Cricetulus griseus: one gene and its partners. The protein of the gene in region 1 purifies or fractionates together with the protein of each later gene. This does not show direct contact. Links are inferred from orthologs where the notes say so. Each region holds a gene or a part of one and is shown on either strand. Other genes may lie near its edges.

What was found.
Region 2: the proteins of Ppp4r2 (region 1) and Dhx38 purify together in Homo sapiens (affinity purification with mass spectrometry; 3 studies listed by BioGRID and IntAct, counting the BioPlex papers as one, with this or other methods). This does not show direct contact. The link is inferred for Cricetulus griseus from reciprocal best matches to the Homo sapiens genes PPP4R2 and DHX38.
Region 3: the proteins of Ppp4r2 (region 1) and Ccdc6 purify together in Homo sapiens (co-immunoprecipitation; 3 studies listed by BioGRID and IntAct, counting the BioPlex papers as one, with this or other methods). This does not show direct contact. The link is inferred for Cricetulus griseus from reciprocal best matches to the Homo sapiens genes PPP4R2 and CCDC6.
Region 4: the proteins of Ppp4r2 (region 1) and Tiprl purify together in Homo sapiens (affinity purification with mass spectrometry; 5 studies listed by BioGRID and IntAct, counting the BioPlex papers as one, with this or other methods). This does not show direct contact. The link is inferred for Cricetulus griseus from reciprocal best matches to the Homo sapiens genes PPP4R2 and TIPRL.

Annotation. Positions count from the first base shown.
Region 1 is NC_048601.1:43,113,237-43,116,801, forward strand, and holds part of Ppp4r2 (serine/threonine-protein phosphatase 4 regulatory subunit 2), read right to left. Parts: intron 2,714-3,565; coding exon 2,620-2,713; intron 657-2,619; coding exon 619-656; intron 1-618. UniProt on the Homo sapiens protein: Regulatory subunit of serine/threonine-protein phosphatase 4 (PP4). May regulate the activity of PPP4C at centrosomal microtubule organizing centers.
Region 2 is NC_048596.1:185,926,258-185,929,822, reverse strand, and holds part of Dhx38 (pre-mRNA-splicing factor ATP-dependent RNA helicase PRP16), read left to right. Parts: coding exon 1-53; intron 54-513; coding exon 514-675; intron 676-873; coding exon 874-981; intron 982-1,322; coding exon 1,323-1,435; intron 1,436-2,619; coding exon 2,620-2,757; intron 2,758-3,087; coding exon 3,088-3,274; intron 3,275-3,415; coding exon 3,416-3,565. UniProt on the Homo sapiens protein: Probable ATP-binding RNA helicase. Involved in pre-mRNA splicing as component of the spliceosome.
Region 3 is NW_023276806.1:267,588,046-267,592,192, reverse strand, and holds the start of Ccdc6 (coiled-coil domain-containing protein 6), read left to right. Parts: upstream 1-1,314; 5' UTR 1,315-1,423; coding exon 1,424-1,705; intron 1,706-4,147.
Region 4 is NC_048598.1:27,172,567-27,176,131, reverse strand, and holds part of Tiprl (TIP41-like protein), read right to left. Parts: intron 3,436-3,565; coding exon 3,336-3,435; intron 1-3,335. UniProt on the Homo sapiens protein: May be a allosteric regulator of serine/threonine-protein phosphatase 2A (PP2A). Isoform 1 inhibits catalytic activity of the PP2A(D) core complex in vitro. The PP2A(C):TIPRL complex does not show phosphatase activity.

The DNA of each region.
Region 1 (3,565 bases):
GAAGTATCAAGGGATTGTCTCAGTATCTAATTTAGCAAGACAGATGAAGTCAAGAACTCTAAAAACAAAACTGTCTAAGAAATAAATGGCACTTAAGATTAAGCTAGTGGATCTATGAAGTAGCAGCCTCTTTTCCCCACTCTTCACATGTCCCAGGGTACTCAGTCTCCTCTCCTTCTCTCACATGTGTGCTCATGTGTGTACTTACATGCTCCAGGACACCCACCCACAACAAAGAATTATACATGTGGCCTAAATACTAATGGTGCCATGGCTGAACAGATGCCTGGAACCAAGTCCTAAATTTGGTATAGAAATCCTGACAACTAGTAATACTTGTCCATGAAATATCTTATTCCAAACCTACCTGCCACCCCTAGAAAAACATCTAGGTGGCCAAAAGTATAGTAATTAACCAGTCTCAATCATATCACTCTGCTGGAAATACTTTTACAGCATTCTGGCAACATTCCACACCTCAAGGACCAGGTGGTAGATTTTTACAACGGTTAGTCACAATGTTTAGTTACACACAAAATAAACGTACAATACTTTAACAACATATTAAAATAATTAGAATATAGTAATTAATATCAAAAGCAGAAAAAATATACTTACTCTGAAGAAGGACAAACACAGCTAACAACCATCACATTCTGAAATAACAAAAATTGGTGACTCAATGAGTGAAAGAAAAGCACAGTAACACAATGTTAACAACTCCTTTGAAACTCAGAATTACCCTTTTACTCCAACTGAAAGCAACTGGTCAAAAACAAAACAACCCCCCCCCCCACAAAAAACTATGCCTTGCTTAATCATTTATATTGTATACTCTCCACCACACAGGTATCAGGATTGGCCTGGGCAATAAAGCCCTGGTTGGCCTGGAACTCACTATATAGACCACACTGGCCAATTCAAGAGATGGACTTGCCTCTGACTTCCAAATACTGGGATTAAAGGCTTGTACACTACCAGAGGTGGTTGAAGTATTTTCTTTTCTTATAGAAAGAACAATTCCAATAATTTAAAACAGATAAATAGCATATGACTCCTGAAAACTCACTAAGCAATAATGCAGGTGAGAATATTGGTTTTTTAATTTCTTTTTCCTAGTGCCTTTTTTTTTTTTTACAATTCAGACAATGTATAGTGTATCTAGAACTATAGTCCAATTTATTTTCCATTTTCCTATGCATGCACTTACACATGGAGGACCTGAACATTCTTCCCCCTCATTCAACAAGACAAGATCTCTCAATTAAACCCAGAGCTCGACAGCCAGTTTGTTCTGTGGATTCTGTCACTACCTTTCAAAGCTGGAATTCATTACACGCAAGTCAGCACATCCACCAGCACTTATGTTGGTTCTAGGGATCCCAACTCTGGTCCTCGAACTGGTGTGGCATTCCCCAACAAATGTGATGGCTTGTGTGAGCCAAATCCCAGTCTCTCTTCTAAAACTATTTTGAATTCAGATATTTAATCCAAGTGTAATGAACTTCCTTCCTTATCTATAAAGCAATACTCAACCCAAGGAGACAAAGCTCCCTCCTATGGAAACGTTAGCAGAAGAGCACTTTTAAGGTTCCCTTACAGCCCTATCACCCCAATTCCAGAGAAAGCACTTCTTTTTTTTAAAAATCCCTGGCTCACACACTGTAAAATTCACAGTACTGAGCTGGCAAACACAGGCGGTGATATCCTGCCTATTCATCAAAAAATTCCAAAACACAATTACTAAAGGACCTTGAGCCGAAGTACTGATGAACCCTGCAGCGCCCTGCCCTTCAGAATCTCATCAAATAGACAACATAAAGAATCAACCCAAGAACTACTGAAAATCCCAAAGTTAATGGTCTTAAGACTCCTGGTCCCAGAGTAAAAGAACTGATTTCAAAACAAAAACTTCTAATGTCAACTATGCCTTTAGGACCAACTACCACATAAGAATTAGGCATCTGTTCAAATTTAGTTGATCCAATTACTCCTTCCAGCACTGATTTAATGTTGTGATCTCTTAAACACTATGACACCTTTGTGTACTGTTACTTTCATTCTCCAGAATGTTCTTTCTTTAGCAGCAGTACCCTGCCACCCATAATGTGAACTGGATCTTTCTTCTCAATGTCACTAAAATTCAAGTTTCCAAGGTTGCGGTGTCTCTGAATTCCAGAATTCCAATGACATTTACAATATACTGCTAACACTCATATCTTTCTGATGGGCTTTAAAAAAAAATGCTTAACAAAGAAAGAAAACATTTGTAAAATAAAAAACAAGGCAGGTAGTGGTGGCAGATGCCTTTAATTCCAACATCTGGAGGCAGAGGCAGAACTCTAGGTTTGAGGCCACCCTGGTCTACAGAGCAAGTTCCAGGCCAGTCGGGGTTATACACAGAGAAACCCTGTCTCAGAAAACCAAAAGCAAATAATAAATTAATTAAACACTTAAAAATATAATTGAACAGCAGCTTTCCTCAAAATAATGGTTGCCTGGGACCTTTTGGGCCTTATTTCTCCCTTTGCTTATCAGTAAATAGTCATGAAACAACTCGTCATTATCTTTTCTGGGACCTATTAGGTTTCACTTTAATTCTTGTAATAGAATACATACCTTTTCTACTCCTCTGAGAAATTTGTCTGTTCCTGTATAATTTCTTCTTGGATCTGTTAGCAATTCACACAGTCGTTGAATAGTAAAAGGGATACTGCAAAAGAATAATTGTGTAGTTTGAGGTCATAAGTATAAGAAACTACAGTGTAAGTGTAAGTGACTCCACAGTGACAGCTTTGTGGAGTCCCGAGAATGAATGCAAGAGTCACTCACATCAATATAAAAGAACACTGAAAACAATGTGTCAAAACTCATTCTGGAAAAAAATTGATGCAATATTCTAAATTCTGATCCCTCAATTTGAACTTCACAACAGAGGTAACACAAATAATAACTGTCACATTAATTATAAACAATGTTTCCTCAAGCATGGCTTTTGCACTCAAAAATTTTACTGAACATCAGAAACCATTTTGTTACTGGACAGAATATGACAAATTAGCCTAATACAAAAGTATTTTAAATATGACTCTGCTCCATTACTACAACTTTATATGCAACCTATAAATTTAGTCAAACTTTATTATTTTGGTTAAGAATTTTGGGGTTAACTATACCAAACACTTTTACTAGAATGTAGTTTTCCCTTAATCACAGCAAATATAAAAGACTGAAAGTCATGGAACAATATTCATTTTACAAAGAGTTTTGAGGAAACCAGAAAGATGCCTCGGCAGTTAAGAGCACTGGCTGTTCTTCCAGAGGACTCAGGTTTGATCCCAGGACCCATATTAACATAGCAGATCACAGTTTCTGCAACTCTAATCCCAGGGGATCCAATACCTGGTCTCACTGGAACATAAATGCAGGCAAAACTACCACACATATAAAAATAAATAAAATTTTAAAAAGGGGTTGAGCTCACAAAATTATTAGCAGTCACCAGAATCACAGTTAAGTGTAATGTTTTAAGTTACTAGATGTGAAAAATGCTGAGAAAATGTTA
Region 2 (3,565 bases), on another chromosome or scaffold:
TGCACAAACAGAAGCAGAAGCGCATTTCAGCCCAGCGTAGACAGATCAATGAGGTGAGGCTGCAGCAGTGGCTGGTGCCAGCTTAGAGCAGAGGTGGGATGGATGGGAGGAGTCTTCAATTTGCCAAGTGATGATGTAACACAGCCGGCTGTTTATAGACAGAGCCAGGTCAGATAGGCCTCTGTGGAACAGGAACAAGAGCAGGAAGCTTTCGGTAGCTTAGAACACCCGGCTCCTCCTCCTCTCTCCTGCAGTACTCTGTGAGGGCCCCGTGGGGAGAATGGTATGGTGATGACTGCCTCTGGGTGTATTTGTGTGTGTGTTAGGGCTGGTGCCCAGCTGCTTCTTGGGACAAAGTACTGCAAGTGCCTCAGCTTTAGTAGTGACTTCTGAATAAGGAGCTGCAGGGTGTAGAGTCCCACTAAGAGTCTGTCACGTGTGGACTGGCCTGCTAACCTTTCAAGATCACCTCTTAGTCGCAGGCTAAATGTGACTCTCCTTGTATCCCCACAGGACAATGAGCGCTGGGAGACTAACCGAATGCTCACCAGTGGGGTGGTCCATCGGCTGGAGGTGGACGAGGACTTTGAGGAGGACAATGCAGCCAAGGTGCATCTGATGGTGCACAACCTGGTGCCTCCTTTTCTGGATGGACGCATCGTCTTCACCAAGCAGGTAGGGCTTCTGTGCCAGAGACTTGGACGTTAGAAAGCATTGAGGGGGAGAGAGGGTTGGAAGAAGGGGTTGGTACAGTCACGTGTCCATTTGAGGGGTCGGGACTCCTTTACTGGGGCCCATCCATGTACAGCAGGGCCTCTGGTTGACTTCAGTGACCAGTGGGAAATTTTTTTTTTCCTTCCCTACTTCCTGCAGCCAGAGCCTGTAATCCCAGTGAAGGATGCCACCTCGGACCTGGCCATTATTGCTCGGAAAGGCAGCCAGACAGTTCGCAAGCACAGGGAACAAAAGGAGCGGAGAAAGGTTGGTATCTTGCCACCCGGGCTGAGGTCCTTGTGTTTCTTTTCTTACTCCTGTTAAAAATCTCAATATGGCATATAGACTCCCACTGGCAGTCAGAGGGTGTACTTGCATGGATCAAGAAGCAGCCCAAGGAGAGTACTGCGTTCTACTCAGTCCTTAGTTAAGGCAACTATAAGGCCTGGTGCCGGGTGTTGGAGGCTTGAGATGTGTGGCTTGGTGCTACCGTTGCCTTGTGGGAGTTTACTGCCTGCCAGATGAAGCCTGCTCTCCACCAGAATTGTTTCCCCTGCCTATAGTCTTGTCAGCGGATGAATCAATTTCACTCGTGTTGTCTTCTTCAGGCTCAGCACAAACACTGGGAACTGGCAGGGACCAAACTAGGAGACATAATGGGTGTCAAAAAAGAGGAAGAGCCAGATAAATCTGTGACAGAAGATGGGAAAGTGGACTACAGGTGGGTAGTGTTGACAAGTCTTCTGATCCCTTCCTTCAAGTCTCTTGTCTACTGACTTTAGATTTCCTTGGGCTTCTTTCCATTGTCACCCCTGTTGCTACAGTGATGGCTGTGTAGACTGAGACTCAGGGAGGTTAAGGAATTTGCTTGAGGGCACCCAGCTAGGAAATGGTGATTTAGTTTAGCACCAGACAGTCCTGTGGGGAGCCCCTGCTCTTTGAGCTCTTCCATGTGGGAAGACAGGATTTCTTTCCTTGGTTGGATTTCAGTACCTTATAGTAAGGAGGAACTGGTTTTCACAGGGCTTTTTCAATACAAGGGACTCTGTTTTGGTAGTAACGTCTCTGTTCATAGAGGTTTTATGCAGCTGTTGAGTCACTGCTTTGTGGAGTCCCTGCATTGGGTAGGCACTAGACTCAAATGTCCCTTCTACTTCTCCTAGTGGTTCTTTGTACCTCTGTGTGAAGTGTCCCAAATAAGAAGTTGGTATTACTGGTCAGGCCTTGCTGGTCTCTGGGTCATTTCGTCCCTTCCGTTTCAGTTGGTAGGTGACCAGGAGGACTGAGTGAAATTAGAAATAGAAACTTGAAGGAGCTTGGGCAGATCTGGGGGAGGAAAGGGCTCTTGGGGAAGGTGGGTAGAAGGGTCTTGGGACATGACCATGTATCAGACACTGATTGCTTATACAGAAATAAGGCAAACGTAAGTGAGCTGTTCTTTGAAAATGAGACCTTTACACTGTGCAGCCCTATCAAGGGGAGAGAGGAATTCTGATCTATGTCCTGTATAGCTAGCACCTGGAAGACCTCTGTGGCTTCGTAAAGTGTGGTGCTGAAATTGCCTAAATTTCTGTCTAAATTAGTGACCTGCTGGCTAATTTCAGTTCCTCTTCTGGCCACCTTTTGTTTAGGACAGGCAATCTGCCCACTGGAGAGTCTGCTCTCTGATCCCTGTCAGCTGTTTGATCAGGGCTCTGGACTGTGTGTGATGGATGGATGATGGAGTGGTCTGCTAGCACCGTAGGCCCACTGAGATGCAGTCTTGGATGGCCAGGCTGCTTTGGTGTCTATGAGGTTGATTGCTTCTTGTCACAGTTGTTCACATTCTTAGGAGCAAGAGGAGGGCAGCTAACTTACTCCTGAGGGACAGTGTGGGGAGGTCATCCATGCTGTCGTGTTTCCCAGGACAGAGCAGAAGTTTGCGGATCACATGAAGGAGAAGAGTGAGGCCAGCAGTGAGTTTGCAAAGAAGAAGTCGATCCTGGAGCAGAGGCAGTACCTGCCCATCTTTGCAGTACAGCAGGAGCTTCTCACCATCATCAGGTAACGTCCCCAGACCCTGTGTTCCAGTGTGGGACATCTAATGGGGAAGGAAAATATTATTTTTCCCTAGTGGATTGGCTTAGGCTATGCTGCATGAAGTAAGATGACATTACTTCCTTTAGTGCTTCAGGTTTACCTTGGCTGAGTCCCAGACTTTTCGTGTGGTGGCTTCTTAAAGAGGCTGGTTTTGCATGCTTCTCTAGTCAAGCATGCTTCTTGGAGAGCTAGGCTTTACTAGAGGCAGCAAGGCTTCTTAAGGCTTCTAGGGGGCGTTTTCTAAGATTGCTTTTCCATTCAGGCTGCTCAGTGCATTGCTCCTCTTCCTTGTAGAGACAACAGCATTGTGATCGTGGTTGGGGAGACAGGGAGCGGCAAGACCACTCAGCTGACCCAGTACTTGCATGAAGATGGTTATACAGACTATGGGATGATTGGGTGCACCCAGCCCCGGCGTGTGGCTGCCATGTCAGTGGCCAAGAGAGTCAGTGAAGAGATGGGGGGAAACCTTGGTGAAGAGGTGAGTGGCCATGAGGTCTGAGCTTTTTCCTGACAGCTTCTGCCATTTTGCTGGAGGCTGTGGTCTGCTTAAGCTGGACTCCATCTGTGGGGTTTAACAATGGGTAATGGTCACTTTCTGAGCTGTGTCTCTGACCCCCAGGTGGGTTATGCCATTCGCTTTGAAGACTGCACTTCTGAAAACACCTTAATCAAATACATGACTGATGGGATCCTGCTCCGTGAGTCCCTCAGGGAGGCTGACCTGGATCACTACAGTGCCATCATCATGGATGAGGCCCATGAACGGTCC
Region 3 (4,147 bases), on another chromosome or scaffold:
GTGGGATTAGCAACCAGGAAAGCGGTTTCTTAAGTCATACTAAATGCTTTATAAAACTCCTAGGAGCAGTTGACAGCTAGGAAACACTTTTTACCCACCCCACCCCGCCCCCTTTTTGCGTTTTTTTTTGTTTCCATGAGTTTGTTCTTCCGTTGACTAAACTTGGATAATAAAACCCGTCTGGTCAGTTTCACTTTCCAATTTTTACCCATAAGTGAAAGCTGTTTTGTATCAGCGGGGTGGTGAAGTGTTTAGACCCCTTTCACCTGCCAGGCGAGTTTCCTGCAAGCCCTTCTAGGAGGGACGGGCCTAACAGTATTTGAGCTTCTGATTGTTTGAGGCTGGCTCTCTATGGTAGTAATTACGGTTTTATTTTTACCTCCTGGAGTTTTGTAGGAGTCGGTGAGTGGTAATAATGGTTATACAGTTCCCTCACTTAATCGTGGCTATTTGTTTAGCATTGTGCCTGCAGTTGCTTTGGAAAATTGGCACTTGAAGTGTGTTTCAACCCCTCTGAAAAAAAACAAAAAACAAAAAACAAAAAACAAACCAGAAAAACAAAATCCGGTTTCTTGACTAGACCAATCTTCCAGTCGTAATCCTATTTTGTGTCCCGTGCAGACAGAGTTTGCAAGATGCAAAGGGTGGAGGGGGCTGCGCTTGGTTTAAACAACTGGACGAAGGGGGCTTGTTTTCTCTGCAAGATTCTTTCCCAAGCAAGGCTAACCTGTGGCTGCCGTCGTGTCGTGCCCTCCCTCCCTCCCCCCCCGGGGGGGGTCACTGCAGGGGAACTTTCTGTTCCTAGCTCCAAGCGATCCTCCGCAAGAAGCAGCCAGAGAGGTCCACGCGCGCCGGCGCCGAACGAAGGTGCCAGGCTACAGCTCGGCGGGGCTGGGAGGGTGGGGTGGACCGAGGAGCCCGGCTGCCCCTCCCACGTGTCCCGGCACCTGCAGGGCTGGCGCGGCCATGGAGTCCGCCTTTCTCCGGAAGAGGCGGCGCGGCCGTGGGCTGGGGCCTGGGACGCAGGGGCCCGGGGCGGGAGCACGTGCGCGGGAAGGCGGCGCGGACCCGAGCGTGTGAGCGTGTGTGTGCAAGCTGATCACCGCCGCCGCCGCCGCCGCCGCCGCGCGCCGGGCTGGGGTGGGGCTGGGGCTGCGGGGACGTCCCCCGCGGAGCGCGCCAGGCCTCGGCGCTGCAGTACTGCCCGAGTCCGGGCGGGGTCTCTGTTCCCTGGCGGTGCAGCTCGCGCGGCCGCGGGAAGCGCCCTCTCTTTCTCCCCGCCGCCGCGCGCGTCTGCGCCTGCCGCCCGCGCCGCGCTCTCAGCTCCCTGCTCCCCGCCGCGCGCCCGGCCCCGCCCACTCGCCGCGCGCCCGGTCCTCCGCGCCCGGCTCCCCGGCTCCTCCGCGCCCCGGCTCGCCCCGCCATGGCGGACAGCGCGAGCGAGAGTGATACCGACGCGGCGGGCGGCGGCCCGGCAGCCATGCAGTCGTCCTGCTCGGCGACCTCGGGCGGCAGCGGCGGGGGCGGCGGCGGGAAGTCGGGGGGCATTGTCATCTCGCCGTTCCGCCTGGAGGAGCTCACCAACCGCCTGGCCTCGCTGCAGCAGGAGAACAAGGTGCTCAAGATCGAGCTGGAGACCTACAAACTCAAGTGCAAGGCGCTGCAGGAGGAGAACCGCGACCTGCGCAAAGCCAGCGTGACCATCGTGAGTGCGCCCCGCCGACCGGGAGGACCCCCGAGGGCGCGCCCCCGCGAGGGGCTGCGGGCCTGCGGGCACAGGGAGTCGGCCCCGGGGTCCGCGCGTGCCCTCCCTCCCTTGGGGTGTTGGAGGTGCCTGGCGAAGACACCCCCCCACGTCTCCTCTTCGCCCGGGGTGGAGGCCCCTCAGAGGCTGAGCTGGAGGCTGGCGGCGTGGCTTGGGGGGCGGGGTGGGACTCCCTGGGTCCTGTGGTGTCTGAACGCTCCGAATCCGGGGACGCCCTCCCCCACGAGTGCTCATGAGTGGACGTAGCTGGGGGGTCTGTTTGGGGGCTGGTGGGGGAGGCGGGGTGTGTCGCTGGGCTGGGCACCCAGTTGGCAGGAGGACGGCGCTTTGCTGGATCGCCGGCGCAGGGGGAGGGAGAGAGTGGCTCGGAATCCGGGAAGTGGAGTTTTCTGGCCAGGATGGAGAGGGAAGGGCGGGCACTGGGGCTACACCAGTCCCTCGTTCGGAATCCCTGTCCTTTTGGACTGGGAGGGTGGGCGGGTACAGAGTAGAGGGGGGTGTAGCGTCTGGCACTGGCTGGGACGGGGTTGGAGCTGAAGCCAGGATGGAGGGTGGCCGCTGGGACTGCCTGGCTGAGCAAGGATGTACGTGCGTCTCCTTCATTGGTGGTGGAGTGCTTAGGAGTACTTGCCTGTGAGTCTAGGTACTTGACGGGAACATAGGCCATCTGTTCTGTTTCTACCTGGCCCCTCGAGGCTCCCTGGAAGAGGGTAAGATTAGTCTGAGATCAGCCTCCTGGTGTAGCAGAGTGGAAAGGCCCCCGTAGCGGTGATGAGGCGAAACGTAACTAGAAAAAGTACGCGTTGTGCTCTCACCTCCCATCCTTGCCAACTCCACGTCATTAACATGCAGAATCCCCCACAGACAACCCTATTCAGATCAAAACAGTTTCCCAGCCAGCAGCACGGAAGAAAATGTCAAGAAATCAAGGAGGATAAATTGCCAGAGCCGCTTGCACACAGCTGATTAGACAAAACCTTCCAATGGAGAAAAGAAATTTGGTGATGGGTCAAGGATCACATCCTGGAAACGAAAACGGGACAAATTTAAGCTGCCTTTGTGCAAAAAAAAAAAAAAAAAAAAAAAAAAAGTGAAGTGTGTGTGTTCCCTGTGCCTGGCTTTTACATGGCCTTTCTTGGTTTGTGTAGATAGCAGGTTTCCACCAAAGAGGCAGTGTGATTTGCAACCTAAATAGCAGTTGGTTTTGCAGAAAGGCATCTTGCTTGCTCTCATCCAGCCCCGTTCAGTGGAACTGGACCCATAAGCATGCCTCTCCAGGCTGCAAGTTATTGGTTCGGCCTTTTGATAGGAAAGGAGAGCGATTTGTGGAGTTGGTTTGCAAGCCTCCAGTTTTCCTTGCCTAAGAGGGGACTTGGCAGAATTGAGTTGGAGCAGAGTACATCGGTGGAGGTTGTTTAAGATTGGATGTAAATGAAAACCATTTTTAAATACGTTGTAAAAGAGAACATTAGTCTTTTCAGACCCTGAGCCTTGAAAAAGAACAGAACTTACAGGAGAGGGTACCTCTGGCCTCTTTCCTGCAGGTTGGACTGTTTAGAGGCAGGAGACACTATGAAAGGGTTATCTGTTTGACCTGTTAACCTATAAGTAGGTCTGTCACTTGTACACAGACACAGTGGCCTTGCAGGGACAAACATGTTTCTTTCTGGTGTGCAAGCCCAGAAGCCTCCTCAATACTTGCAACTGTGGGTAAGGTGGCAGCTTTGTTTCTTAACATCACTCTCAACTACAGCTAACACACAGTCAGAGCCTTGTATAAGTGTTTTGTAGTCCTAGCCAGTAATGCTCTTAAATTGTTCATGCTGACCAGTTTGCAAAGGTGGGGCAGGTCTTGTTTTTTTTTTTTTGTTTTGTTTTGTTTTGTTTTTGTTTTGTTTTTCTTAAATCACTAATGTATTCAGGGAGATTAAAGTGCACGTGCTCTACCTGAGTCCCTCATTCTTGGTAGGTGTTAGGAGCTAATAATCTTGTGCAGCAACCCCTTTTGATCTGAGGTGAAGACTGGGCATGGGGTGGGGTCCAACCTCTCCATTGGTTTATAGATGCAGAGCAGAACGACACCTGTAGAGTTTATACCAGCCTCAAGCTGTGTGTATTTCCTAATCAACCCGATTGGGAAGGCTCTGACAAGGCTGAGGTAGTTAAAGGAGGCCTCTGCTGTTTGCCACAATTGTAGTTAATTTAACTGGAAAATCAGTACCATCATCCCCTTTCTTGCTTCCGGCTCTCATTAGTTCTTCTAATTATAACATGAACTTCCATGTTCATCAACGCTAAAGGTGGCGAAGGCTGTGCTTGGACACCTTCAGGAAGATGTGTTGAACTTAACTTTTCCTTAGAGGAGTTCCCTCGGAAAAATTA
Region 4 (3,565 bases), on another chromosome or scaffold:
ATGCTCAGTTGGAACTGGAGAAATATTTCTTTCTGTTAAAATGGCACCTACCTTAGGTGCTGGGAAATATAGTGCCTGAAGCAAAAGCATGACAACCTGTGTTCAAACCCCAGAAAACCACATAAAAAGCTAGGTGTGGAGGTTCCTGAACACAAGGTCAGCAATGGGGAGACTGGTTACACAACAATGCTAACATAGTTAACCCTTCTCAACTATATATACTTACAAATTGTTTTTTGTTTGTTTTCTTAAAGCATTAATGTTGTTAGGTAGACCACACACGATGACACTATGTTAATAGTCAATTACCCCAATTTTTTAAAACATATTTTAATTGATTCTTTAGGAACTTCACATATACCAAATGTGCAAAACAGTAAGTTACGGGCAGTGTGTTATCCAAAATCATAGTTTAAATTTGTGAACCCAATACTTCATCTACAAAATGAGGATACTGGACCTACCTACAAGGTTATTTTGAGCACTAAAGACCAAAATTATAATAATTTATCTGAAAACCTTTAACTTAAAAAGTCTGTTTTTTTTTTTCCCCCAAAGATGTATTTACCTTATATGTATGAGTGTTTGGCATGCATGTATGCATGAACACCATGTGCATTCCTGGTGCCCACTGGTGTCAGAAGAGGATATCAGATCTTTTGAACTAGAGTTACAGATGGTTGTGAGCCACCATATGGGTGCTGGGAACTGAACCTGGTCCTCTGCAGAGTAGTAAGTGCTCTTCACTGTTGAGCCATCTCCACAGCCTCAGTCACTCCATTAAAACACCAAAAAACCACATTCATCAACTTCAGACATAAAGCCTAGTCATGCCTAGTATTCCAACAGTCACCTACTATTTGAGACCATCTATTGAGGTCTTCACTATGTAACAGACACTGCATTAAATATTTTACATGTGGGATCTGCCTCACAATTGGTATTGTCCATTTATCAAAATAAGGCTTTGCAAAAGATCAAACTGTGAGGAGATGACTCAATGGGCAAAGCCTGACTTTGAATCCCCAAAATCTACATAAAGCCAGATATAATAGTTCATGTCTGTAATACTGGTGCTCCTAGGGTGAAGACAGGAGAATCCCCAGAAGCTTGCGGGAAATAGAGCCTAGTACACACATCAGCAAAAAACAGAAACCATGTTCAAGTAAGATGGAAGACAAGAACCCACACCCAAGGATGTCCTAACCTACACACACTGTGGCATATGTAAACTCCCAACACACACACACACACACACACACACACACACACACTCACCCACACACACACACACACACACGAGAGAGAGAGAGAGAGAGAGAGAGAGAGAGAGAGAGAGAGAGAGCAAATTGCTTTGTCAAGCTGATTTGAAGCAAAGCCCATATTCTGACAAAGCCTAAGTACACCACTATCACTACCAGAATGGGAGATCACACTGACATTTATCAGCAACACTTTAGAAGAAATTATATTATAGGTGAAAATATTGGAAGAATACCAAGCGCATAGTTTTATCTTCTCCTATCAGTCTCCATCTCTATTGCCTTGGTTCTTGCTCCAAATGCTATACTTACAGCTAATGCAGCTTTTCCTAAGTGAATCCATTAAACAACCATCATCACTATTGCATGAGGTATCATAAAACTTCAATTTCTTCATTCCTGGCAACAAAATATCAAATGACCTCAGCTCTCTGCAAACTTCAATCAGAAGTGATGACAGACTACAGTCTGTAAAGTTGTCAAGAGAATAAGAAAATCACCATACTCTCACTGGACTATGCAATGGCACACAGAAGAAGTTTAAGATATGTCTGATGAAATGAATAAATGAGCAAATGTCTATTTTCTCAAAAGTTTTGTTTGTGTACTGGAAGCACACATAGAAAAGTTTGGAGGAGAAACTAAGAATTAGTTTCAGCCGGTGTGGTGGCACACACCTTTTAATCTTAGCACTTGAGATGAAAACCCAGTCAGATCTCTATCAATTTGAGGCCAGCCTGGTCTACAGAGAGTTCCAGGATGGCCAGGGCTAAGTAGATGAACTCACCTTGAAAAACAAAGAAAAAGAAAAAAGAACCCCACCACCACCACCAAAGATTTAATTTCTATCTCCTGAAACTAAACTAAAAAAAAATTTACATAGGCAAGGAGACAAGGATTTCACACATACCCTCACATGTCCAGCTAACCATCAACTTATGATATAGCCTCCAATAACATTTAGTGTGTGTGTTATGAGCATGTGTGGCAGTCAGAGGACAACTTGTAGGAGCTGGTTCTCTCTTGCCACCATATGAGTCCCAGGGATCAGGCACAGTCATCAAGCTTGGCAGCAAGTGACTATCCACTGAGCCATCTCACCAGCCCTAAAGGGTAAGGAAGATAGTTTACACTAGAACAACTTTGTCCTTACGCCTGACAGACATACAACCTAAGCCTCACTTGTTTCACTTCAGTCTCACTATCAGAGCTTAAAATGTAGTTAATAGAGACCTTCCAATTCCATGTTCTGTGTCCTGACTACACAGATGCAGATCAATCAACACTAACACAACATGCTAAAATGTAATTAGAACCCGCTTGTGAACTATTCATATAAAAATTCTTCCACGGGCAAGCATTTCCATTTTCTCAATTTACTAGTAACAAGGTGTCTGGATTAAATAAGTCACCTAAAGGGCCAGGTGTGGTAGTGCACAACTTTGATCCCAGTACCGGGGTGGCAGAGGCAGGCAATCGATCTCTTGAGTTCAAGGCAAAACTGGACTACATGGAAAGGCTCCAGGTCATCCAGAAGGAAAGGAAAAAGTAACTTAACTAAAATACCAGATTCATACTCAGTGCAAGCAGGATATAAATTTTCTGTTCAACAGTTCTGTTGTTCATGTGTAAAACTCTAAGCTACTAGCTAGCCATTTCTATCTATATCACCTAATAATGCATTACCAAGGACAGATGCTTGCCTATGACACTGCTAACACCAAGGCAAAGTAAGGTTTTAAAGAACATCGTTCCTAGGCAAGTACAGGTACATACCTATACTTCCAGATACTCAGGAGGCCAAGGCAGGAGTACCTGAGCCTAAAAGTTCAATGCCAGACTCCTGAGACTCCATCTCAAGCAAACAAAAGGGGAACTGGCTATATCTTTCTTTTATTTTCCACTAATAGATACATTAATAAAACTAAATCCCTTCATATTAGGTTCTAAAGCCTGCCACAATCAAACTAAGCAGGATAAAAGCAGTGGGAAAAAATAATAACATAACTAAAAGATCTAGTGCTGAGATTATAAAAAACTAATGATTCATAAAAGCAAAAAGTTCAAATTTACCTTTAACTTAAGAGATTCTCCAAGTAACGTTCCTTTATAATCTGTTGTATAGGTCCAATCATATGGTTTAAGAACTTCTTTGGAGTGTTCACCCTCCGTCCTCAAATACCAAAACAAAAAAGGATGAGTTTAGAGTATATATTAGCAGTATTCATATGCACACCAAATTACACATCAGATATGTAATATAAAATACCCTACTAATACACACACAACATAAAACATCTTAT